Drosophila melanogaster: one gene and its partners. The protein of the gene in region 3 interacts with the protein of the main gene of each other region in a pairwise test. Each region holds a gene or a part of one and is shown on either strand. Other genes may lie near its edges.

Region 1 (8,898 bases), on a different chromosome or scaffold from region 3:
ATAGTTACCCCTGATGGTATTAAACCAAATCCTATTAAAGTTAAAGCCATAGTTTCATACCCAATTCCGACAAAAGTAAAAGAGATAAGAGCTTTCCTTGGATTAACAGGTTATTATCGCAAATTTATTCCAAATTACGCAGACATAGCAAAACCCATGACCAGCTGCTTAAAAAAAGGAGCAAAGATAGATACACAAAAACTTGAGTACATAGAGGCATTCGAAAAACTTAAGGCTTTGATAATTCGTGACCCAATTTTACAATTACCTGATTTTGAAAAGAAATTTGTTTTAACCACAGATGCAAGTAACTTGGCCCTCGGGGCTGTCCTTTCTCAAAACGGTCATCCTATATCTTTTATTAGTAGAACACTTAACGATCACGAATTAAATTACAGTGCTATCGAAAAAGAATTACTTGCCATAGTTTGGGCCACAAAAACTTTTCGACATTATTTACTAGGACGACAATTTCTCATTGCCAGTGACCATCAACCTCTTAGATGGCTTCATAACTTAAAGGAACCGAATGCTAAGTTAGAAAGATGGAGAGTTAGATTAAGCGAATACCAATTTAAAATAGATTATATTAAAGGGAAAGAAAATTCAGTTGCCGATGCATTATCAAGAATTAAAATTGAAGAAAATCATCATAGTGAAGCTACTCAACATAGTGCAGAAGAGGACAATAGCAACCTTATTCATTTAACAGAAAAACCAATAAATTATTTCAAAAAACAAATAATCTTTATTAAATCCGATAAAAATAAAGTAGAGCATTCAAAAATATTCGGTAACTCCATTACCACAATTCAATATGATGTAATGACACTTGAAAAGGCCAAACAAATTTTACTCGATCACTTTATCCATAGAAACATTACCATTTATATTGAGAGCGATGTAGATTTTGAAATTATTCAAAGAGCACACATAGAAATTGTTAATACCACCTACACAAAAGTAATTCGCAGTCTTTTCCTATTAAAGAACGTTGGTTCATACGCCGAATTCAAAGAAATCATACTTCAATCACATGAAAAACTTTTACACCCTGGTATACAGAAAATGACAAAATTATTTAAAGAAAATCACTTCTTTCCAAATAGCCAACTATTAATTCAGAATATAATAAACGAATGCAACATATGCAATTTGGCCAAAACAGAACATAGAAACACCAAAATGCCTTTAAAAATCACACCCAACCCGGAACATTGCCGAGAAAAATTTGTAGTAGATATTTATTCATCTGAGGGAAAACATTACATCAGTTGCATTGATATTTATTCTAAATTCGCTACACTTGAGCAAATTAAAACTAAGGATTGGATAGAATGCAGAAACGCATTAATGCGCATTTTTAATCAACTAGGTAAACCCAAATTATTAAAGGCAGACAGAGACGGAGCTTTCTCCAGTTTAGCTTTAAAGCGATGGCTTGAAGAAGAAGAAGTCGAATTACAGCTCAATACAGCAAAAAACGGGGTAGCAGACGTCGAAAGATTACACAAAACAATAAATGAAAAAATTCGTATAATCAATTCATCTGATGATGAAGAAGTAAAATTAAGCAAGATAGAAACAATCCTCTACACATACAACCATAAAATTAAACATGACACTACTGGACAGACACCTGCTCAAATTTTCTTATACGCTGGGCATCCCATATTAGACACTCAAAAAATTAAAGAGAAGAAAATAGACAAAATAAATGAAGACAGACAGGAATTTAATATTGACACTAATTACAGAAAAGGTCCACTACAGAAAGGCAAATTAGAAAACCCATTTAAACCAACCAAAAATGTAGAACAGACAGACCCTGACCATTACAAAATCACTAATAGAAATAGAGTTACGCACTACTACAAAACACAATTCAAAAAACAAAAGAAAAATAATAAACTCTCAATTTCACAGGCACCTGGTACCCGATAACACTATTGTTTATACTGATCACAGCTGTTCATGGACAACAAATTCAAATTAATAATATTGACACCAACCACGGATACCTCCTTTTTTCTGATAAGCCAGTACAGATACCATCCTCCTTTGAACATCACTCCTTAAAAATCAATTTAACTGAAATAGACATCGTGGTTGACTATTTTGAGCAAAGACTACGAACCGATTACCATGCACCCCAGATCAATTTTTTATACAATAAAATAAAAAGAGAACTAGCCGGAATAACCCTGAAACATAGAAACAAACGGGGTCTTATTAACATTGTGGGTTCAGGTTTTAAATACCTATTTGGAACACTAGATGAAAATGATCGAGTCGAAATACAGAAAAAACTTGAAATCAACGTCCATAACTCAGTAAAATTACATGAACTCAACGACGCCATACGATTGATAAATGACGGAATACATAGAAGATTTGGAAATGGCTATGCAGCTTTCCAGACTTGGACTGTTTAACCCCAAATTACTAAACTACGACAAACTTGAAAATGTGAACAGCCAAAACATTTTGAACATTAAAACATCCACTTGGATTAACTACAATGATAACCAAGTATTAATCATATCCCACATACCCATTTACCTTTCACTAATAAGCACAATTAAAATAATTCCTTACCCAGACTCCAACGGCTATCAGCTAGATTACACAGACACACAATCATATTTTGAAAAAGAAAATAAAGTTTATAATACCGAAAATAAAGAAGTAAAAAATGAATGTGTCACCAATATTATTAAACACTTAAATCCAATTTGTAATTTTAAGCCAGTACACACGAACGAAATAATAAAATACATAGAACCAAACACAATTGTAACCTGGAACTTAACCCAAACAATTCTTAACCAAAATTGCCAAAATTCAATTAATAAAATAAAAATAGAAGGAAACAAAATGATAAGAGTAACGCAATGCAAAATAGAAATCAATAATATAATTTTAAGTGAAAATCTGTTAGAACCAGAAATAGATTTGACATCACTATACACACCACTTAATATAACAAAAATAAAAATTGTAAAACACAACGACATTGTTGAGATGATTTCAGAGAACAATATTACACTTTACATACAAATGATCATTGTAATAATCGCACTAATTTTGTTGTACTCATATTTAAGATATGTATCATTTAAACCATTTATGATGCTGTATGCAAAACTTAAAATAAGAAAAAATCAAAATCAAAACACACCACAACAAACAGAAATAGAAGAAACTCCATTTCCCACACTATATCCATCAATCCCAGCCCAAGTATAGGCTTCTCTTTAAGGGAAGGGGAGTGACGTATTTGGGTGGTCCAAACCAGCCACTTCCATTATTTCAAAGAAATCAGTAATGCACTCTAGTAATTTTCCATAACGTATCCCAGCTGCGCAGCATTCGTTTATCTTTGGCAGCGCAGCCGTTCTTGTAAACATCCTAAAGCCTGACCTAAGCAGATTTGACTGCCCTCTTTCAACGCTACCTAATCTTAAGAACCCAAGAGCGAGGCTCTCCCGAAATACAAATATTGTTCAAATACTGAGGCTTCTCCTCAATCCAATTTGCATTTGATTTTTAGTCTTAAGCTGAGATCCAAAGAATAAAGTCGTGAAACTATTTCTCCTAAAACTATTTTTTATTTCTTGGCGTTGTCCTTAGTCAACTGACGGGACATTAGTTCGACTCATAAATAAAACAACAATTTTACTATATATTTTCAATTTTTTTTTTCGCAAGCGTCGCACGTGCGAGCTTTTCCCCCGATATTTATATTCGCCACTCACACACACGCGCACCGAGAGCGACACGTCCGAACGGTTCCAGAGCCGTTAAATTTTCGAACTAAAACTGAGTGTCGGGGGTGTAGTGTGGCCAGTTCTTCTAGCGCTCGTTTCGGTAAAGTTTGTGCTCTCGCTTATTGGCCGCATTTCTTGTGTACCGCCGCATGGTCACTCTAGTGCCGCTCTTTGAACCGCTCTCTTACGTTTTCTCTTCTATTACTGCTGCTCATTTAACAGAAATGTTAAAATGCAACGCTTTTCTAACAGAGACCGCGGTCTAAACTTATTTAAATAACATTTTATCTTTTAATAAGCAAATAAATGTAAATCGTACTTAATGAAATATATGATTTTACAAGATGTGTGGTAATAATTTCCATAAAAACGTTTGTTTGTTCTTTCTTCTTTATAATGTAGTAACTAGTTTAACTAGTCCGCGAGTTCATCGGATAACGTGACCACTTAAAAGATTAGATTTTGGGATATGCGGATAGATTGTCACTACCAATTTACAATACTTAATCAATGTTTAATTAAATCAGCAAATGCTATCGATAAGCCAAACTGAAAAATTGCCATTTAGTTCGTTTCTAACCGTGGCGGTCCCAAGTTCATGATCAAGTGCCCTTAGACCTATAGAAAAAATGGACTCAAAAATTACCTTTCTACTTACAACGCTACTATTTGGTAATTCGTATTTTTGCACTTTTCAAAATCATTACATATCATCATTTTTTAATGTTTTTAACTCATGTACATACGACCCCTGGGTCGCTTGGAAACATTAGGATCCAGACAGTTTAGTTTTGACATAACTTAAAAAAACTAACAGGTATCTGATAGTCGATGCTCCTGTACTCAATTAAAACATTTAAATCTGACGAGTGTGTTGGGTAACATTACTTGATAATACATTTACACAATCGCAAAAAGGGGGTAAAACGTAAAATAGCAACATTTTGTTATTTTTTGTCAATAAGTTGTCATGTAAACTCTTAGAGCTAGGGTATATGAGCGTCGGTCTCTTGAAGTTAAGCACATTTCTCGCCATTCTCACTTCACGTCTGCTCTCTACGCTTGCGCCATTGCACAGCTGACAGATTGAAGAGAATTATTGATGTGCAGTTGCATTGCAGCATTCGGTGAAAGCGGAAGAAGGGCACAACGCGCTTTGCATTCCATAAAAATCGCATAACAAAGGGAGTTAATTAGAGTCCATTCGCGCACACATACATATGTACACGCTCATTGCGAAGTAAACAAATTCACATTGGATTGGATTGCATGTGTTTGCGTATCAATTCTCGCTGGTAGGGTGGTAAGGAAGGCAAATGGGCTTATCTACGCGTATCTGCCATATTATGCCCTCTGTGCGTCCCATTGTCCAATTGTGGAATATTAATGCCGTCTATTTCACGTCCACTCGCAGTGCTCGTGGCCAAAATCAATGGGTCTGCTCTGAACGCCAGCAATTATCAGTACCAAGTGGTGGTCGAGCAGACAGCGCCAGACGATTCCCAGATCGAATATATATTCCTCAAACAGTCGGATATGATGAAGGTATGGGGCACAAATCTCACTGCCATTACCTGGGCCCATGCCGTCAACAGCCAGCAATTGCTGGACGAGGTCCTAACCGAAACCAGTAAGATCATTGGCCAAATATGCGCGTGTAACCAACTTATCAATAGTATCATTTCCCTGCCCAAGGTGGCATTGACTTCATCGAAGCGGACATTGTGCTGGGCAAACTGAATGGCGATGGCGAGGACATGCCCATAATGGCCCATCCGCCGGCCAATGTCTCTGATCTTACGCTGTCGGAATTTCTCAACCAGATCATTAATTTCAACCGTGATCATGAGGACCAAAAAAAGGGCGTTAAGCTCGACTTCAAGTCGATCGAGGTATTCGAGGGTTCCCTGGACATTCTGGACGTGAATATTCCGAACGTAAGTTTGGTCATCGAATCTCAGATATCAGAACAAATTAAACAATATCTCTGTGTTGTGCAGCCTACCACGTATCCTGTGTGGATAAACGCCGATATTCTAAGTGGTCCCGTGGAACAGAATAGAACCGTACCCGTTGATGCGGACCGATTCTTCGCCGGCTGTATGCGCTACAAACAGGCAGTGCTCTCCATTGGCTGGACAACTAACTGGGGAGCCGACTTCCGGGATGGCGAGTACACGCAGCAGCAGTGTGATGACATGCTGGAAACGCTGAGCGAGAACAATGTCCTATCCACTGGCCAGGCCATAACCTTTCCCGTGCGCGCTGGCATTGCCGCCAACAGCGAGGAGCAACTGCATCGACTGGTGGCCGCGGTGAACGAGACAAACGAGAGCACCCTGACCATCTGGTCGTCTGCCGGTGACTATGTGGATGTGGATAAGTTGCGCAAACTGATCTTCAGCTTCGGCTTGGATAGAGTCTATCTGGATGTGCCGGAGGAGCTGGCCTCACAATTGAACCTGGACAATCCCGGCAACGGAGCCAGCACCTTCAAATCCCTGTTTGGCTTCAGTTTCATGAGCCTTTGTTTTTGGGCTCTGTCCAGCTGGATGCAGCGGTTATAATATACGTAATTAATATAAGTACGGTAATCAGAGCAATTTTTATACAACTTCCAGAAAACATAATTAAAACTTATACTTTTATGTGTTGACAGTTTTATTTTCGTTTAGGTGGAATTGTTGGAAATCGCCTTGGATGACGAGTCATCTTATATAAAAAAGATGAATTTTAAAACACATTTAATTATTCAAGTGTATTGTGTGGATTTAAAGAAACTTATTTAAGGGAATATGTTTCTCAAGGCAAAGACAAATGTAAAGTTTAATAGTAACAAATGTATAAATTGATTGGATTTCGAATTTAAAATTTATATGAAGATATGTTTGGATATTTTTTTTTCAGGGTCTCCATACGTAGTTTTAGTAACTACTGCCATTTTCAGAAAGTCCCTCTTTGATCACTTGATTTTAATAATTTTTTCTATTCATTTATCTTAAGGAATTTTTGGAAATATTTCCGGGGTTCACAGCTGTGCTTTATAATCTAGGTATTTAGATCTTACACTGATCGACATTTGTACATAGGATATGCGTAATCTTTGCAGTGCTAGCGTTATTTGTACAAGACTTAAAACAACAACTATAATTTTTAGTTTTTCGGCCTACCTATGTAAATGAGCAACAATTCTCGCTACCTATGTTCTCTGTTCAATATTATTTCTATATAACTTCAGATCAATCTGCATTAAAATCTTAAATATCGCTCTACAAATGTTATGCATTATTATATAAATATAAATACTTTGGGCATGCGCAGTTTAAACTTCAAGAATTAAGGAAAATGAGTAATGGGGCGCTCTAAGCGAGTCGCTCTATATACAATTTAGTTTATCCTACTAAAATAGTTAATGACTTTTTGCTTGCGTTTTCTGCTGTTATTTGGCACTAAAATAAATAATCTTATAAATCTCTCTCGCTGTCCGCAAAGCGTGCAGATGTGTTGAGGGAACTCCTAATGCGATTGGGGCATGCGTGGTAGGTAATGTGGTGGTATGTGACGTGAATTGGAACGACATCCTCGATGAGCAACTTGGTCCAGCCTCTTAGAGCCTGGCTAAGGCAGAATGGTTTCATCACGTTGTTCTAAGCTATTCTAAGCTACGGCGACGTAAATGAGTCTCAGGCAGATGATCGTTGGCGGCACCGTCAGAATGGCTTGATGCCAACGCATGTATTATCTAACTACAACATCGGGCGAGTCCTCGCTGATCAGACGCTCCCTGTGCGAGCTTTCCATGGTACCACTCTCCAGTCTTATGCCAGAATCGCGATTATAATCCAGTAGGCGCACTCCCACACGCTCGTTGCCCGATGAACTAATGTTGTTCCGGAATAGTTGGGCCACCGGCGCTGTGGCTGCCGACGAATTTACACCAAAGGCGTTCAGTGGTCGCAGGACACTGGCCTTCGCCTTTGGATCGCTGTGACAAAAGTGCGTCACTTGTCGCGTCGGGTACCAGCAGGTGCATATAAGACCGCCCGCCAAAAGGATGCCGGTTACTATCTGCCCCAGCAGGACAATTAGCGGAACAAGCGCAATGTCTGCGGCAATTTCCTCTGATACGCGTACGCGCTCCTCGCACCACATCATGGGTATCATGACCGTCGGGACATTCTCATACAAGCTGAAAGAAAATGAAAATATTAGTTTATGTAAGGAAAAGGCTTATGTAAAGGTCAAGTTACTTACGTAATACCCGGAATTGGCTCCATGTAGTAGTTGGCCTGAAAGCCACCACCCACGTCCATTGGCACGCCCGCATTGGGCTCCAGGGCCATGAAGAACTCGTGCTTCTCGCGTTCTGGTCGCAAACCCTCGATGGCCTCCAGATAGCTTGGATCCGCCATGTAAAAGTGCGGAAAGGACATGTAGACGGATGCGTTAAAGGAGCAGGGTCCGATATTGATCACACCGCTGGGCATACACTTTCCTCCGACGCAATAGCAACGGGTATCCGGATATAGAGTGCCATTGTCCACAGCGTGCCGGGTGCCACTGAATTTGTAGGCGGTCACGCCGTGCACGGTCACAGTTTCCACGTAGTCCAATGGTATAGCACGACACATCTTGGGCATGTACATGTAGACGGTGTCTTTGGTGCCAAGATTGGGCGGAAAGAATTCGCCCATCGAGCCGTGCACCTGCCCGCAGGTGCCCTCAAAGGCTCCAGTATGCGTCAAATTATTCCACGTATGAATCTGACCCATTTTAGCGATATCATCAGCTCCTGTAAACATGTTGATATCACCATCGAACTCGGAACTGCCATTTCGTGGGTAATGGTAGCCTATACGTTTGTAGGGAACATCCTGAGGTCTCAACAGCTTGCCCACGCTTATGAATGGATGCTCGTAGCCCTTGAAAAGCATTTCATCAACTGTTTTCGTAATGGTCACTCCCTGTCTATATAATTTATTGGCAATGTTAACGCCAGTTCTGGCAAACCAGTCGACGGCCGCACGTCTAGCAGCAGACTGTTTAAAAATAATTAAGATGTTAATAGATTTCATTGAGATTGAGAGATGTTCTGAGAACTTACGTGCGCTACGCTGTTGACCGTAGT
Region 2 (8,572 bases), on a different chromosome or scaffold from region 3:
CGTACAACCCACTGGCCATGTAGAACATCTAAAGGGAATAAGATGTAATTGATCGGAAATGTTAGGATAGCAGAAAGGGGAACTACCTCCTCCGAGTCCAGGGACTCTGCCAGGTGACACACCACATCCACCATCATGTAGCGCTCCTTCATCAGCAGAACGTTGTCCCTTTGGTACGTCATCATCATAATGGAGAGGGTAAACAGATCGAGCAGCTGCTGCAAATTGAGTTCCAGCTTCCCGGCTAAGGTAGCCATCATGCGATTCAGCAACTAAGTTAATATAAACAAATTAGTAATAGTTATTAGGAAATAAACAGAATAATAACCTGTTTGCCGTCTGTGGTTTCTGCAGCGTAAGGAAACAAATGCTTGATGGACGACTTCCGGAGAAAGGACATGATGGATTCGTGGTCATAGCCTAGGCGCATTTCATCCACTTCCACGAGGGAATTATTCAACGATGAATCAGATAGATTCATTTTGTATTGGCGGTAAAAAATGCGCAAAGCAAATAAATAGAAATAATAAACTGAAAGAGTGACCAGGCACCAAGGGGTGGGTCAAATAGCCTAACGCCTAGTTAAGCGCTGTATCGCATGAACGTAAACGGTCATACCATTATTGTTGCTCCACGTGCGGCGATTTTTATTCATTTACTACTTTAATAATCAATTTTAGTGAATTGACACTAATTAAAATGCCGCCTGTTAAGAAGCCCAAGGCGCAGAAGATCGAGAAGCAAAGCACGCCCAAAAAGCCCATCGATGCAGCCAAGAATGTGGTTTCCGGACAGGTGAGCGGCTACCAAAAACAAATGCTCCTCCGTTGGGTTGGATAACCGTAAACTGCGTCCATTTTAGCTAAAGAAAAAGGTGACCAAGGCCAGGCCGCAGAAGCCAAAGGGTCCAGAACGCGGCGTGGTCATTGTGAAGCACCTGCCTCACGGATTCTTCGAGCAGCAGCTGCGCCAGTACTTCCGACAGTTCGGTCGGGTGCTGCGCGTCCGTTTGGCCCGTTCGCTGCGCACCGGTAACAGCAAGGGCTACGCCTTCGTGGAGTTCGAGTACCCGGAGGTGGCCAAGGTGGCTGCCGACACCATGGACAACTACCTGATGTTCCAGAAGGTGGTGAAGGCCACCTACATTCCACCAGAGAAGCAGACACTCAACTTCTTCAGGACTTCCTTGAAGAAGGTTGTCAATAAGGTGCGTTCAAAGGGAAATACATCTAATGTCCGTTTGTTATTCATAGTTGTACTTCACTTGCAGGCCGGCAAGGAAATCTATGTCTCGGATTTAACCAAAGCCACACAGCGCAGCGTGAAAAAGCAGAATAACTGGGATGAGTCCGCCTGCCAGAAGCGCACCGTGGCCAATCTCAACAAGATCAAGAAGCTGCAGGAGAAGTACAAGGATCTGGGCATCGACTTCTCCAACTTACTGGTGGAACCAGTAAAGAAAGCAGCAGGCTCCGCTGAGGCATCTACAAGCCAGGCAGCCGCCAAGAAAGCCGGTAAGAAACAAAAAACGGCCGCGAAGAAAGAACCAACGCTGGAGGATTTGCTGGGCAACACCATCAACGAGGACTCCGATGATGAGGACTACGTTGATGCATCCGATGATGAGTCCGATCTGGAGGCTGAGGAGGAGCAAGCGGACAGTGAGCAGACCAGCGATGACAGCGACGAAGAGGAGGATTTATCACCGCCGCCCAAGCAGAAAAAGACTAAGCTGGCTGATAAACTGAAACGCAAGCCCGGCACTGGTGGTGTGCAGAAGAAGAAAATAGCTCCGCCGGCTAAGAGCAACAAGAATGCCGCCACCCAGAAGTTGCAGCTGGCCGCAGCCAAGTCGCTGGCCAAACCCTTGCCCAAGGGAAAGGCCAAGAAATCCAAGTAGTAGCTTAAAATACATTTACTATAGTTGTTAAGTAAGCGAAAACATTTTGTAAGATGAATTGTGTTAAAATATGTCCTTGTACAAACTAAAATGGCGTTTTGGCCGAGCTGCCTTGCTGCTCCTCCAGTTTGATGCGCTTGCACTTCATGCGTCGATTTTGGAACCACACCTTCACCTGGCGTTCGGTCAGCTCCAGCGCCACTGCGATTTCGTAGCGACGCAAGCGAGTCAAATAGTTGGAATAGCAGAACTCCGCTTCCAGCTGCTTGAGCTGCGTTTTTGAAAATGCTGTGCGTTCCTTGCGATTCGAGCTGATTGCCCGGAGTTTGGACCTTTGGCTTGGAAGTTCTTGACCAGTAGGTGCCTCATTTTGTAACCATTGATCGTTCGCTTCGTTGCACCAATTAGTTTCTAGTTTATTGTAATCCGCGTAGGAAGAAGACGCACTGTGGTCATATACATAGCTGCAGTCCGTATAGCCCTCCGTTTGGTTCAGCCACGATTTCGTAATATCCTCGTAGCAATAGGATTCTTGGTAGACGTTCGCGTGGGAGTTCTTCATTGCCGATGTCTTTGCTTCTAGGTCTAAACTATTACTGAAATCTCAGATTCGGCGGAGCTGCTTTTTAAACAAGGCGCAGAGTGTGCCAGGCCAATCTGCTTTTTCACTTAGTCGCAAATGATGTGCTGCTGATATGATAATTGTGCGCAACATCTGGACCTCGGGTATGAGTGGTTATGACACCCGCAGATCGGCTTGTTGTCTTTGCCTACGAACTGTTGTCACAACAAACCCGAATCCGATTCCCAGCCCCTTCCCCAGGCGTCCGGTCAGAAACGGAAGTGGACGCATGAGTCAAGTGCTTTGTGCCACCAACTGCGGAGCTATAAAATTTTAATAGACAACCGTCGGCGAGTCGTAAGACCCAGTCGGAGATTTATCTGAAAGTCGCAATTGCACGCGCTTTTAAAGTCGATGCGGCGGATTACGAGTGACCATTGAGTGTATATTCCTAGATAATCCATGACAAAGTGGAGTTTTATATAATAATTAATGGGGAAATAAGTGCGTGTCACAGAAATGGTTAAGGGATAAAATAGTTCAATAAAATAAGTCTTACGGGGGTTTTAGAAATTAGAAAAGAAATCAAAAAATTTTGATATCCTATTATGAAACCAATTATAAAATGGACACAGCAAAAACGTAAATTCTAGCTTCTGCTTATTTTTCTTGGGGCTTAGGTATACCCTTTTTTATTTGAGTTTTTATTAAATAATATACCGGTATATGAAAATTAACCGGTTCCGGTTTTAAATTATCCGCATTTATTTTCAAACTGAATAAGTGTTGGGTAATCTTTTTTGGTTAAGGCATAGGCACATTTCAAGTGTTGCCAGACTATGACATTCCAAAGGGCATTCAGTGATATCTGTTGTCCTTCGCTGTGTAGTTATTGTTTGGCTAGATTTATTCATATATTTCTTTTAATTTTCCTTTGTCAGCTAATAAATCTCATTTAATCTAGAAAAAGTATACAAGAGGTTTAAATATATCTATCGATAGAAATGAAGCAACGGTAGAAATACTTTCCGATATCTATCGATATATTAATACTTTTATGCTTCCCATCCCCAGTGCAATAGTACAATTTACAATTTACAATCATTTAGTACAATCTGCGATATCTGGGCATCCACATTCGCCAAAATATGTGCGGCTAAAACCCCCCGCGAACCGCTAAGCGGCGGCGAAACAGTCGGACAAAAGCGACATAAAGAAACGAAGCGAGAAGCAGACGGGCGAATTAAACAAGTTTCGTTTGCGTGGAACGCAGAATTGCGTGGAAAGAAAGCCAACGAAGTAGAAGAAGAAGCAGCGCAGCAAATGCAATAATGTTTAATGTTTAAACAAATTCGCCAAGGAGTTTCATTCTTTTTTTCAAATCGTCATCCGTGAGTGCGTGTATGAGTGTTTGTGAGCGTGTGTGTTTGTGTGCATGTTGTGAAGTGGAAAGAGTGAAAACAAAATGAGAGTGTGCAAATGAAGTTGGCCAAGCCCAAAACAGCGAGAATTAATTAAAGCGACTAAGAAAAGTGGCCGTCGCCCAAAGGATTAATCACGCCCAGGGGTTACCCACCCACACCGCCAACCAACCAAACGAAAACTCGGTGAAAAGAGTGTGAACCGATCGGCAGCAGGACGCCGAAGGACCCAAAATGAGCGAGGAACTGAAAGTGGTGCTGCGGCGCAGCGAGCAGCATTCCGGTTTCGGGTTTTCGCTACTCGGAACCACCGGACCGCCACATGTCATCTACGACATCGTCGAGAATTCGCCGGCAGCCGATTGCGGAGCGGTAAGTGAAGCAAACACAACAGCACACCGCAGTTGCAGCTCCTCTGCGCCTTTGTGTGTGCTGTGTGTCATTCCATTCCCGTCTGGGACAGGAGGACTGGCGGAGTCCTCACACCGAGCGGCCCATGCCACCCCCTCATATCCACCCACCGGTGACCTCCGACCACCTCTACCAATGACTTCATCAACCACCGGGCACTGGAAGCAGCCAGCGAAGAAGCAGAAGCAACAGCTCCCTTGCTGGGCTCACTTTTGGCAACGCCACATTTTAGACTACAGTAGAGCCTCGACAAGGCACACCGCCCAATAGCGGAATTTATTAAAGATCATTAAATGGAAATACGTAGCTGGCAAAATTGACAAAATTCATAGAAATCATGCCAGTTTCTAGTTAAGATTGCTGTTCTGCAATACTCATTTTTCCCTGGAATTTTGTGCTTTTCAGGGAATATTAAGGAGATTTTAGAGAATTGACAAAAAATTGACAATTGACAAAATTCATAGAAATCATGCCAGTTTCTAGTTAAGATTGCTGTTCTGCAATACGCATTTTTCCCTGGAATTTTGTGCTTTTCAGGGAATTTTAAGGAGATTTTAGAGAAGTGCAATAACAAATTGTGTGATTTCAGCACCGTTTTAAAATTTTTGAAGGATTTGTATACCGTCCAACTGCCGTTACATAAGCATTCAAACGGAAAACAAATTATTCATGACGTTTTATCTGACGCAAAGTGCATACGTACATATGTATGTATGTATGTACATACATAGATAAGTACGATTTTTTATGGCAGCTGGTGGCTTGAGTTTTGGAAGTTGGATTGTGTGCAAAGCGACCGAGACTCGCCCCTCGGCTGCTGATAAGAATATTTTCCACTTTTCCACTTCTTTTTTTTATGGTGATGACCATGGCTGTCTGCTGGCGTATGTGAAAGCATTTCAATTTGCACAACGGCAACAAAAAAAAAGCGAAAAAAGCGAGAAAAGCGCAAATGAGAGTCCTCCGTTGGCGTGTCATCATTGTTTGCCGCTCGTGATGTCATCGTTGCTTTAATTGATGGGTGGAAGGGCGCTGGAAGGGGGCGAGGGGCGGGTAGTCTCACACAAAAGCCAGTGTATCAATTTTCAGGCTTGTTTTGCTTTTATTTACTATTTACTGTCATCGCATCGCATCTCGAATGTTTAGAGCCGAGTGCAAAAGAAAACAAAGCGTGTAAATATAGCGAACAAAATAAGGCAAATAATTTGTCTTTCTTTTCAATAAAATGCTGATATGTTTACTGTTCGATTGTTTTTGCTGTGTAAAGATCAATTTATTGTCAATTTAATCGAATCGGAATTCTCATGATATAACCAGCAGAAAGCGTTTTGTTCATTTTAAAAATATCTACATATATTGTAATATCAGAGACTCGGAAAGTATTATAGAATTTCTCTTGAAAAAGCCCATCCGCACCATTTATCTTATCTAAGTAAATTTAGTATACAATTCATAGAGAATAGTCACCTTTTGGTAGCTATTACCAATCTGGATTTCTCAGAATGGGATTCTTCGATGAACGCACCCAGCGGATATTGGATAAGAATGGACTTTACGTGGGGCCCATTTCAATTGTTATTAATTTCCCCATGCAACTGCGATTCGAAAGAGTTGCAACGCAAAGTTAACAAATCGACAGAATGCAAATGCAGCGCTATAAAAAGCAATGCAAAGACAACAATTTATAAATAAACTTACTCAGGCCGATGCTAACACACACATAAAGCCTCCGACTTACTTTGTAATTATCGGACGTGGCAACAAAAAAAAAAAAATAATAATAAAATAAAACGATTTACACGAAAACCCAAACAGAATTCTCCAGCTTTGGTTGTTAAATTTATGCGCCCGACCACCAAAACACAAAAAACCACAAAAACTTGGTCTCGAACAAACAAAACAACAGAAAACAAATCGAAATGCGTGAAAGCAGAGTGCAAAAAAACGCGTTGGGAATTTTAAATTGTTGAGATTATTAAGTAATTCCACACAAGCCACACAGGTATGATGGAAAGCAACACAATTGCATCGCGGTAATTTTCTTGAGGCAACGAACTGACATCGACATATGGACATGTATCTATATATATACATAATACATATGTATATGTGTGTGTGTGTTGATGTGGATGCAGCGGCACGCACTTTTTCAATTTCTTATCGCTTTCGCTTACAACTTGTTGTTATTTTTGTTGCCCGGCTTGTTTTGGGGCTGTTTGACTTGTCTTCTATCTACATACATGTGTATCTATGCACACACTGCTTATAAAGTGGGTGCTCCAGAGTATCTTGGCACCTAGGGTGTTTAAAAACAATATTTATAATTTTCAATTCAATTGATTTGATATTTATGAGCCGAGCTATAACAGAAAAATATCATATTGAGTTCCTAAGAAATTGTATTATTTAGGGTATCGGTTACGCTCCACGTTGCCTTATAAACGTTATATACAGAATTTTTCTGCCTCATTTTTAAACTTAGCACCTTCAACTGTAAATAACTCTCATTTACAAAGCATACCATCTGTAATTAGTTGCTTTTTCAAGACCGCACCCTGTAAGACATAAAAACTAATGAGTAACCAATGCGTCGGCTCCTCGAATGCAATTAATTTTACTTTTTATATGCCGTCATTCTGGTTGCGGTACAATTTTATTTTTCAATGAATGCACAAACACATGCACACACGCTCTTCTCAACTGGGTGTGTACAAATTGTGTGTATGTATGTATGTTGCATGTGTGTGTGTACGCTGTCGTCGGTTGTCTTTTGTCGCCTTCGCTTTTCCATTTCCCATTTTCTTTGCCTGGCTTTTCTTTAGCTAAGTTCCCTGCCTCTTCGCAGTTGCTGCTCTCTGTTTGTTGTCATTTCTGAATGCATTTACCGCACGTTTGTTTATTTTCCCACTTCTTCAGATACATCAAGTATACTCCACACACTCGCCAGACGACAAAAGTATCTGCGTTCCGAGGTGGCTGAGTGGCAAATTGTATTGCATTAATTGCGCTAAAGCAGTTACGCCTTTAAATCTAGTCGATTTATATAAATGTCTATGCGCACTAGATAGATTCTACATTAAAACCCATTTATAAATATCTTATTGTGCTTTTTCAAAACTTTAGCCATATGATATATCTATTTAAAAACAAACATTGAATGCTTGGGCGAAACTCCATGCCAAACACTCATGATCAAATAGCAAATACACAACTAGTTGTTGATGTTTTTCGAAATTATTTATATTCGTTTAGTCATTAATCTTTTGGGTTGCCAAGTGATTTGCTCTCTCCTCGCTCGCCACTCAAAATTACTTTTTTGCCCAGCTGTTCGAGGAAAAGAATTTAATACTTCACTTCTTTTTGTTTTTAGGGCAAACATAAAATCGCAAACGGGACAAAATAAAATACAAAACCTTTAGAACATCAGTTGTGTATACCTCCATGGCATTTTAGGTTGCCTGTTTTTTTTGCGCCTCCTGCGAAATTTGTAGCTTCTTTTGTTCTCGACTGGCGTTGTTGCAAAATTCTAACGTTATGCTTAATTACTCGTTAACTGGAAATGACAAACGACTTTTCGCCGTTGCCGCTTTCGTTGTCATTGTTCCCATTGTAGTTGTTGTTGTTGTTGTGGCTGTGGGGCTCCGCCCACTGCGAGCAACAAATTAATTGCCACCGACAAGTCGCAGACAAAAAGAAACAAAAAAAAAAACAAAACCATAGAAAAAATGGCAAAGCAATAGAAGAAGCTCTTAGCTCTTAGCTACTTATTGATTTTTCCCCCTTTCGGAATGCCTGTGTTTGCTGTTATGATCCCGATCTTTCGCCTTCTTTGGCAAATTGCGGGTAATGACAATTGACACGTTCAAGAATAAAACGACAACAACCAAAACAGACGGCAACAAAACAGAAGAGTCGAGCAGGTCGGCAAACTTCAAGCTCTGAAAAGCACAATCCAGCAACAAGCATTCACTCGATTACAATTGCGAGATAGAAGTAAATGTCAAGAGATGGGGATACGGCTTTAACTTTTGCCTCAAATGCCCCATTACAGGGTGGTTGGAGTTTATACCACGTATCTGAAGCTATGGCAGAGATCCACACTTAAGATACTGTATCTGTAAAATATCAGATGCAGACATCTTATTCGATAAAAGATACTAATGTGAGTCACAAGGGTGTGATGCTACTTTACTTTTAAATAGTACTACATATTAATGGTTAATCGTCGATTTTAAGTAAACCTTTTAACATATTAATAATCAGAAAATAAGTGTGGAT
Region 3 (8,693 bases):
TGCTAAAATTTGCGATGCCAGAGACAAGCTTTTGCACGTTGAGATGGTGCTCTTCCGAGTCTAGAGCTAATATTCCAGAGTAAAGCACACACAAGAAAACTATCGCTACAACCACTTAGCATTCAGTGCCGGTCCGATCCCCCTCCCTGATCACCGATCCCCTATCGCAGACCTTCAGATCTCTCAATTGTCATCGCAGCTAATCCCCCATGTAAGTACCCCCGAGTCGAGGAACAAAACCGGAGACGAGCAGGTCGCTTTGTTTGTTTGTTTTTGTGCGGCTGGTGCTCGAGATCCGCCAGTTGTTTGAACTTGGATGCGCACGTTAAAACACCATCAAAGAAATCGATCTGAACGCGGAATGGGAGTGGGAATGGAGCGGACTGGATGGCGCATAATAGCTAATGTAAGCACTTGCACTCGGTCTTCCACCGCCGCTCTCGAATAAGAGGCAGCCTCTTTTGTTTACCCACTCATTCCACACTGGGTTCTATGTTTTTGTTTGCTGATCGAGCGGGTCTCTGTTAAGTGTCTGATCCCCTCTGCTGTAGATTGGTCCAGTGGTGGTAATAGGGTGCTCTTTGTTGGCGGAAAATAGTCCGACATCCATCCATTCGGGCCATTTGGACGGATATCGGAAGTCGTGGTGAGCAAGTGTCTAGGCCCAACCGAATAGGTCCAGTGCAATGAGGAGAAAGCATGGTAAATGTGCTATTATTCCTTCCTTGGTTGGGCCTTTGTAGCTATTTGCTTTCGTGTAAGATGTCCACATTAGTCACCTCCCACTTCCACTCCCATGTCCAGTGGATCCAACCCCACACAACTCCCAGCAGGCACATGCGTATCCGACATACATATGTATAGGCGAGTATGTGGCTCTCTTTCGGCTTGGCGAGCATTCCATTAACTAGTTTTCTGGTCGGCCGAGTTCAAAAGCGCTTATTAATCTGCGGTACTTGTGTTTAGTACTTTTAAATAAGTTTTGAGTACTTTATTCAGTTCGCTTGATGTTTCGCCGCCGCTCCAAGTCACGATGTTTGCTCTGCTCGTCCCCCTTTTCGCTTCTCCCATACTGTTTGCCTTTGCTTTTGCCTTTCCTCTTGCGAATTGGACGCGCGTCAATATTTATTTTATTTATCTCCTTGCTCGCCCAGCTTGCGGGATACTCGAGGGAGGATGGGGGCCAGACACAAACAAATCGAAATATGGCCATGGAGGTACTGATTTCTTCCCGTGGATCAAAATACCAGGAGAAGGGGGGAATGGCGCCCGCCAGCAATTCATTCCGTCACCCAGCGGACTTCTCTCTGCCAACTCTTTCGTTCTTTCTTTGCAGAAGCCATACAAGTAATGCGATAATTACAATGCCAGGAATCATTCGTCAGTTGGCCACTCCGTGTGAATTACCGCGGCTCAGACTAAAGCAATCTAAAGTTACTCCCAGCACAAAGGGAGGGGAGAAGCCTGCAATGCGTACCAAGAGCGTTACATGGGATTATCCCCTGTCTCCTGTTACACCAGCCAAATAAATCTTCGGCTGGCGGGTACGTAAGCACCTGATTCCAAGCTCATTCAGACATTTGGCTAGGCTCCAGGGCGAAACATACAAACACCAAGGCATTCGCGAATCTCCTAATGGAATTAGGTCTCGTTTATATGCACAAATCGTTCAACAGGCCCAATCGAGGGAGCTGCAAGCCTGAATTTAGCCATGGGAGGTTCAGCCTCTATAGGAAGGAGCCCGCACAACAAAAACCCCAAAATTGGAGATTTAAAATAATCTAAAAGGTGGCACGACACAGTGACAAAGCCCTCGATCCGACCTCTGCGAGGGCTTGGCCTACAACAAACTGTTCGCGGCGGAGGGCGCTTAAGATATAATTTGCCATATCTTGGCGGAAGGAGGGGGAGATAGTCCCGCGCAGTGTCGGCGAAGATGTGAGCCGCGCCGGGTGCTAATAAAGTTGCCCGCCAAGAAATGAAGGGCTTTGGGGGAGCTCAATAGGCACTTCCCCCTGCGATTTTCTGCGGCCCGTCTAGGTGCTAATTTAGCGACCTCACAGAGATACAAATCCGCATGCGAACGCAAGGGGTTCCTCAGAATTTCCATTTTCAACCGAAGCGAACCGCAGATAAGGGATAAATGTCAAAATTATCTGCACACTCGCTCCCCACATTAACCCATGCCGTACGCACTATCGTGCAACTGACCAAACCCAAGGTGAAGGAAGGCAATCCTTAAGATCGCGGAAGAATCGTATTTCATTAGTTCATTTATTCGACATAATATTTCGCATTGTATGCTTGAGTTCCCATGGGTTAAACTTCGGGCATGGCCACTGAAGACTGCAGAGCGAGCGAGGATGGGCAGGCAGAGGAGCCGCAGACGAGAAGCAGAGCACATGGGACGGACAAAGTGCAAATATATGTTGTTAGACCACAAAGCCGGTCCCAAAGTCAAAAGCCGAAGGAGGCGGCCAGAAACACAGTAAAAATGGCAAAAAACGAAGAGCATTCCCTCGATATGCCAAAGTGCATCAGGCACTAAAATGCAGAAAATTGAAACGGGCTTTTAATGAAACGAAAGCGCCGCCAGAGATGAGATGCGCGCCTGGCTCGGATGACTGGCTATCTAGCTGGAAGCGGATATCTGGCTCAGACGTCCACTCAAATGGAGATGGAGGCAGCATGGGCAAGTGAGCGCTTACAGGCGAAATAAGACGAACACAAAGAGTCAATTAATTAGTAGATGGATTCACGATTGGCGCTGCATATATAGACACTGCGCTGCAGTCGAAGGTGCGGTTGGGATCACTGTGAAAAATACTTTCGGTTGTCTAGGCCTTTGGAATTCCCTTGCAACATGTTGCCCGCGTTCAGGTAGGAGACCGAAGATACAATCTGCACTTTCTCCCAGTGTCGAAACTATTGCCGAGAGTGGACCTTCTTTTACTCGAGATAAGAACGGGGATTGGGAATAGAAGCTGGGCGTTCATTAAATGATAAGCGAGCGACGGACGGGTCCGTGTGATAAGGCCTTCTGGCCCATCGGGATGGGCCAGGTAAGAAGACTCCATCTGCGACAACGGAGTGAAGTGCGCACAGAGATCAGGACTCTGGTGCCCAGCCAATCTGGGCAGTTAAAAAGCGGCAAACACGGGTCGGAAACAGAAGCGGCAGCGAAAAGTATGACTTGAATGCACGCAATCCCCAGGGCGCCACAAGGATCAAAATGAATTGTTAGTACGAAGTGGGGAATTCATGATTACTGGAAATAGAAATAGAAATAGAAATAGAATACTGGAAATTATGCGAAGCTGCTAGCCGAAAACGGGGCGTGGCGGAGGAACCGGATCGAGATTGGAAGTGGAAGAGGGAAGGGAAAGGGGCAACACGTGGAGCGGGCGCAGGAGGCAATCAATCGGTTTCCTTTTCGGCAGAATGCTCATTATCGCCAATTTGTGGGGGCAACCGCGGGGCGGTTGAAAAGCAGATCTGCACTGAGAACAATGCAATGTCGAACTCCGCAATTGTGATTTTATGCCGCGCAAATGGCGCTGTGATCAGGGTTCCAGCTAAAAATTAAATGCACGTCCCGCGGCTTCTTCTCCTCATCATCCTCTTTGTCTTCTCTTCATCGTTTTTGCTTTTTCGCTGCTTCTTCTCGTCTTGCTCCTCGCCATAGTTTTATGATATATGGTCACAGGGGCGGGCCAATCTCGTGGCACGTTCGGGGTGTTGGTAATTATAGGACTTTATGTCTGGAAGTTTCTTTATGATGGCTTTTACTTTCAAGCGCAATTCGAGGGACGTTAGCGTTGTTGCGGCATAGCAAGGCCTTGTTCGCATATTGACCATAGGTTTTAATATTCGCTGTACGAAAGGCTGTCTGAATAGTAAGAAAACATCATTTTTTTAAGCAGAGTATTCATTTTTTTGCTGAACGCTGGGAACATAACTGCGCATTGGATTGGAACACGGTTGCGGGATAGCGGAGTTCCCAACCCAGGGATGCAATTGCAGCGTGGCTTATCGGAATACGGCGTTGGCGCGCTGCGGCCACACCAACCGTCTCTTCTTCTTGCCGTCGCTTCCGCCTTCTGTTCTTTTTCCTCGTGGTTTTCGACTGACAAGATGGCTCCTACCGTAAGTGCTCCGAAATATGAGTTTCGCGACTGGCCACCGGCGCCCGGGAGCTCCAAGTTGTGTAACTCTGCAGCGGAAAGCCCTAGTCGGTGGCCAGCAGCGAAATATTCCATTTGTCGAATGTGCGTGTGATTTTTTTTGCTTTTTTTTTCGGTGAGCAGGCCAAGACCAACAAGGGTGATACCAAGACCGCTGCCGCTAAGCCAGCGGAGAAGAAGGCCGCTCCCGCAGCCGCCGCCGCCAAGGGCAAGGTGGAGAAGCCGAAGGCTGAGGCCGCCAAGCCCGCCGCCGCCGCGGCCAAGAACGTGAAGAAGGCGTCCGAGGCGGCCAAGGATGTAAAGGCAGCCGCCGCTGCTGCCAAGCCCGCGGCAGCCAAGCCCGCAGCTGCCAAGCCCGCCGCCGCTTCCAAGGATGCCGGAAAGAAGGCTCCCGCTGCCGCTGCTCCCAAGAAGGACGCCAAGGCTGCTGCTGCTCCGGCTCCCGCCAAGGCTGCTCCGGCCAAGAAGGCTGCCTCCACGCCTGCTGCCGCTCCCCCAGCAAAGAAGGCTGCTCCCGCCAAGGCCGCAGCCCCGGCTGCTGCTGCTCCCGCTCCGGCTGCAGCTGCTCCTGCTGTCGCCAAGCCCGCGCCTAAGCCGAAGGCAAAGGCTGCCCCAGCTCCCAGCAAGGTGGTCAAGAAGAACGTGCTGCGTGGCAAGGGACAGAAGAAGAAGAAGGTCTCGCTGCGCTTCACTATCGACTGCACCAACATTGCTGAGGATAGCATCATGGATGTGGCCGACTTCGTAAGTACATGGGGTACACAGATGATCACAAATCTCACCGCTCAGTACCAAGCACTGGTTACAATCTGTCGTTGCTTTCAAGATGTTATGGGGGATGTATTGCCCATTAGTATCTTTCACTGTCTATGGTAAAAGTAGTAGTGTGCCGTCTATAACTATAAATTGTTCTCCCAAAACATTTGAAAGCATTAACCAGATCGAAATCTGTATAGTCTTACCGCACCAAGCTTTCCACTGCCCTCCAAGTTAACCAGGGGCTCTGGATAAAAAGTTGTGGTTATAGTGAGTTCACTCCATTTTGCGATAAACTGCCAGCGGACTTTCCCGTGCCGCCGGCGGTTAACAACTTCTGGAACAACGCTAAATGTAGATGATAGTCATAGGAAGGGTAGGTAGGTGTCCGTTCCGTTTTAAACCAAGTCGAATCTTTCGCTGCCTCATGCGGGCACACGCGTTTCTTCCCAGCGCCTTCCAATCGCGCTTGTAGTCAAGGGGCTCTGGGCACTGCACAACGGGGTAGCCACTGACCGCCAGTGACCTGGCACTGGCCAGTGGTGCAACCGTCTGTGAACAGCGTCAAGCCGTGCTATGTGTACCGCCACGTGGTGGGCCCTGGGTTGAGTGCGACCACATCCGTGGCGCCTCAGGCCAAAATTCATAGTGCGCCCTGCTCACAGTGCCCGCTCTTCCGTGGCACTGCAGGTTTTCCCAACTTGTAGAAGTTAGAATTAGGTGCTTCTTCCATATGCCAAGTGATAAGCCAACTGACTAAGTACCCGCTAGTGGGCAAACCGAGTGCGCTAAACGCGCTTCTCAGCAGGGCGCTGAATAGTTCAAGTGTCGCCTACGTCACGGGATCAGGTAACTACAATCTTATGCTGCATTCACAAACGGGGAATGGAACCACTGGGGGAAAGGTACATAGTCGCATGCATGCGACTGAGTCATTTGACTGGAAACCCCCTTAAGAAGTTTCCTTTACTGGCACGCCGTCCGAAAAGTACCGCACCTATTGGTTCCATGGCCCCTTCATTGGTCATCTATCACCTAGATAAATCTATTTTACAGGCCACGCCGATTTGCCGTCAGAGAGTGAGCTTTATGCGTCGCTCTGATGGCAGTGTACTCAGTGGCAGAGCAAAAAATTGGTCACTCTTCTTTATTTGGGCTCTCTGTTCTACCCACTCGACTCTTAGCCTTAACAAAGAAAGAGACATTTAGCCCAGCTTACCGCTAGCAGGAGCTGCCCCAAAGATCCAGCCCAGTCCAAGCTGAACTAACCCGGAATACCCTCTCTATTCCGCCCGCAGGAGAAGTACATCAAGGCCCGCCTTAAGGTCAACGGCAAGGTGAACAACCTGGGCAACAACGTCACCTTCGAGCGCTCCAAGCTGAAGCTCATTGTCAGCTCCGACGTTCACTTTTCCAAGGCATACCTCAAGTACTTGACCAAGAAGTACCTGAAGAAGAACAGTCTGCGCGACTGGATCCGTGTGGTGGCCAACGAAAAGGACTCGTACGAGCTGCGCTACTTCAGAATCAGCTCCAACGACGATGAGGACGACGATGCCGAGTAAAGATGTAGCTGATCCCTTCAGTGGAATCACTAGGTTTACATTGGTTTTTATTATACATTTCACGCCCTCAAGCGGCGTGTTTTTATAAGCTAACAGAAAGATGTGAACTCATGAAAAAAAGAAAACTTCGGGCTAGCCTCAATAAAACAATTGTGTGTGAACCTTACGACCCCCAAGTCATTTTTATTGTTAGTACAAATCTATCTGGGAGAAAAGACCTATTCAATTTATTTCGCTTGAGAAGATGCGGCTATAATCATTGAAAACGATTTGCCTTCAAAGACATTTGGTTGTGGGCATGTACTTTATATATTTAGACATTTATCCAATCCAACAAATCCGATATCCCCGTCTCGCTTTTTTCCGTGATCGGTTGGTGCTCTTTGTTGAAAGAGTGATGAATACTATTGAATACTATGTGCATAATTTAATTGTTTATATTATCTGGTCATCCACATAATGAACACTACTTGAAACTTAGAAAGACGGAAAGTAGATTTATATAAAGCCAGTCAGTTGGATTGCATCCAATCGAATAATTAAGATGTATGGGGGGTGCTCTTGTCAGCTGTCTACTTTCAGGGCATCCGAGAGTTTACAGATTTAACTAGCTGCAAATCGCAGTACGTTAGTCCGTCTGTGGTTACGAAAGCAGGGGGTCTAGAATAGTCCGGACCACTGGTGTGCTCATCGTTATGCAAGCGGACCATTAACTAGTCAGCTTCCCATTTCGTTTAGGCGTGTGCATCGTGGGCACCGGCCATGTGAAATGAAACTCATACGTGGCGGGTGTTGTAGGTGTAGGCGAAAGCTTTTATTTTATTCAACAATTGAAGAGTGCAACAAATACGTTTGCTCACAGCAATACAAAAACAAGCAACAATTACGCTAACAAGTCTAGAAAAATACACACTTTTAGTGGGAACTTACATTCAGGTTGTCTTTCTTCAGAAGGCTTTTGAGTTGGGTTTGCACATAGGGCTATATAAATGTATATATATATATATATATGTATGTATGTAGTTGCAGAGATATTCGAGCGTTTGCTTTGATTTCGAGCACACTGGGATGGGTCCGGGCCCGGTTACGGTTACGGGGCCCATGCACACCGCAACAATCACAATTGAAGGCCAAATTGGAAAAGGGGGCTTTTTGACTGGGAAGCCAGCTTGTTTATCCACAAATACTGTAGTCGGAGATGGTACGGCATAATTCAAGAGTTTTTGTCCAATTAGCGCCTGGAATTATCGATGTTGGTCAGCGCAAATATGCGCGCCAAGGCCACAACAGCTGGGGAGGAAGGTACAGTAGGTAGTCGGGTAATTGAGTGGGTGCACAGTGGAACGTTCCAGAAGCATGGTCTCTAAAAGCCAGCGAGCCGCTTGGCCACCACTCCGCTCATAAGCACGAGCAGAAGGGTCCGCATGGTCAATCCTTCCAAGGCCCGAGCTCCGCCGGTGTGGGAGCGAACGGATGCCTGGATTGGAGCGGCGACATCCTGTGCCTGCTGCACTTGCTGCACCTGCTGCGATCCTGGTTGATCAGCGGCCATGGGCGCCAGTGGTGCTGGACCCTCGCCGGCGGAAGCAGCTGGTGGCGGGGGTGCCGGGTAGCAGGCAATCTTCTCCACCTCTATCATCTTGGTGCTGTCAGCCGGATCCGTTTCGTTTACCTTGGTGGGCACACAAATAATGCCTCCAGGCGGTGGGGGAGCAGCTGGGTCCGGCGCGGTCATGTTAGAGGTCTCTGGATTAAAGGGCATTGGTGCCATGGGTACGGCTGGCTGTTGGGCATCTTGGGTGGTGTTGGAAGAGGGAACTGGGGCCGCTGGAACTGCTCCCGGGGCAGCAGCCACACCTGCTGCATTTATCACAGTGGTGCCATCACTGGCATTCACTGGCACGCCGTTGTTAATGATGATTATGCGATCCTGACCAGCAGCTGGAGCTGCGGCAACCGGCTGCGAGGAGGAACTGCCTCCCGAGGGAGTGAGGGCGTGACCCAGCAGGGCACCTCCCAAGCCGCCAGCAAGCAGTCCAGTTCCTGCGAAGAAATTAAACATTGAAGCGCAAAAACAGGTGTGTCACTTAAACAACAAGCGTTTACACGATTTATGTGAGCACTTAAAGCAAATATGAGTCAGCAACAGAAGATTGCTGCAGGGGATCGTGATACACTGCGTGTTAGA

What was found. Proteins that work in one complex are often made in the same cells at the same time.
Region 1: the proteins of RpL22 (region 3) and CG7231 interact in a two-hybrid assay, tested with the Drosophila melanogaster proteins (one large-scale study listed by BioGRID).
Region 2: the proteins of RpL22 (region 3) and Efa6 interact in a two-hybrid assay, tested with the Drosophila melanogaster proteins (one large-scale study listed by BioGRID).

The regions. Positions count from the first base shown.
Region 1 is NT_033779.5:7,980,369-7,989,266, forward strand, and holds CG7231 (uncharacterized protein), read left to right. Parts: upstream 1-3,577; 5' UTR 3,578-3,870; intron 3,871-4,172; 5' UTR 4,173-4,399; coding exon 4,400-4,442; intron 4,443-4,906; exon of another isoform or gene 4,907-5,125; intron 5,126-5,184; coding exon 5,185-5,400; intron 5,401-5,465; coding exon 5,466-5,716; intron 5,717-5,770; coding exon 5,771-6,337; 3' UTR 6,338-6,417; downstream 6,418-8,898. Other genes in the region: pes (peste), read right to left, coding at 7,509-7,959, 8,025-8,809, 8,875-8,898.
Region 2 is NT_033777.3:22,584,164-22,592,735, forward strand, and holds the start of Efa6 (exchange factor for Arf 6), read left to right. Parts: upstream 1-3,591; 5' UTR 3,592-4,117; coding exon 4,118-4,255; intron 4,256-8,572. Other genes in the region: CG33107 (uncharacterized protein), read right to left, coding at 1-28, 87-272, 329-481; CG6937 (uncharacterized protein), read left to right, coding at 700-795, 863-1,207, 1,271-1,900; btn (buttonless), read right to left, coding at 1,986-2,462. UniProt on the Drosophila melanogaster protein: Guanine nucleotide exchange factor for Arf6. Regulates axon growth and branching by inhibiting microtubule polymerisation at the cortex. Together with shot, promotes axonal microtubule bundle integrity.
Region 3 is NC_004354.4:760,537-769,229, reverse strand, and holds RpL22 (ribosomal protein L22), read left to right. Parts: upstream 1-4,099; 5' UTR 4,100-4,134; coding exon 4,135-4,146; intron 4,147-4,307; coding exon 4,308-4,928; intron 4,929-5,143; exon of another isoform or gene 5,144-5,288; intron 5,289-5,419; exon of another isoform or gene 5,420-5,789; intron 5,790-5,995; exon of another isoform or gene 5,996-6,147; intron 6,148-6,238; coding exon 6,239-6,505; 3' UTR 6,506-6,670; downstream 6,671-8,693. Other genes in the region: CG5273 (uncharacterized protein), read right to left, coding at 7,869-8,548.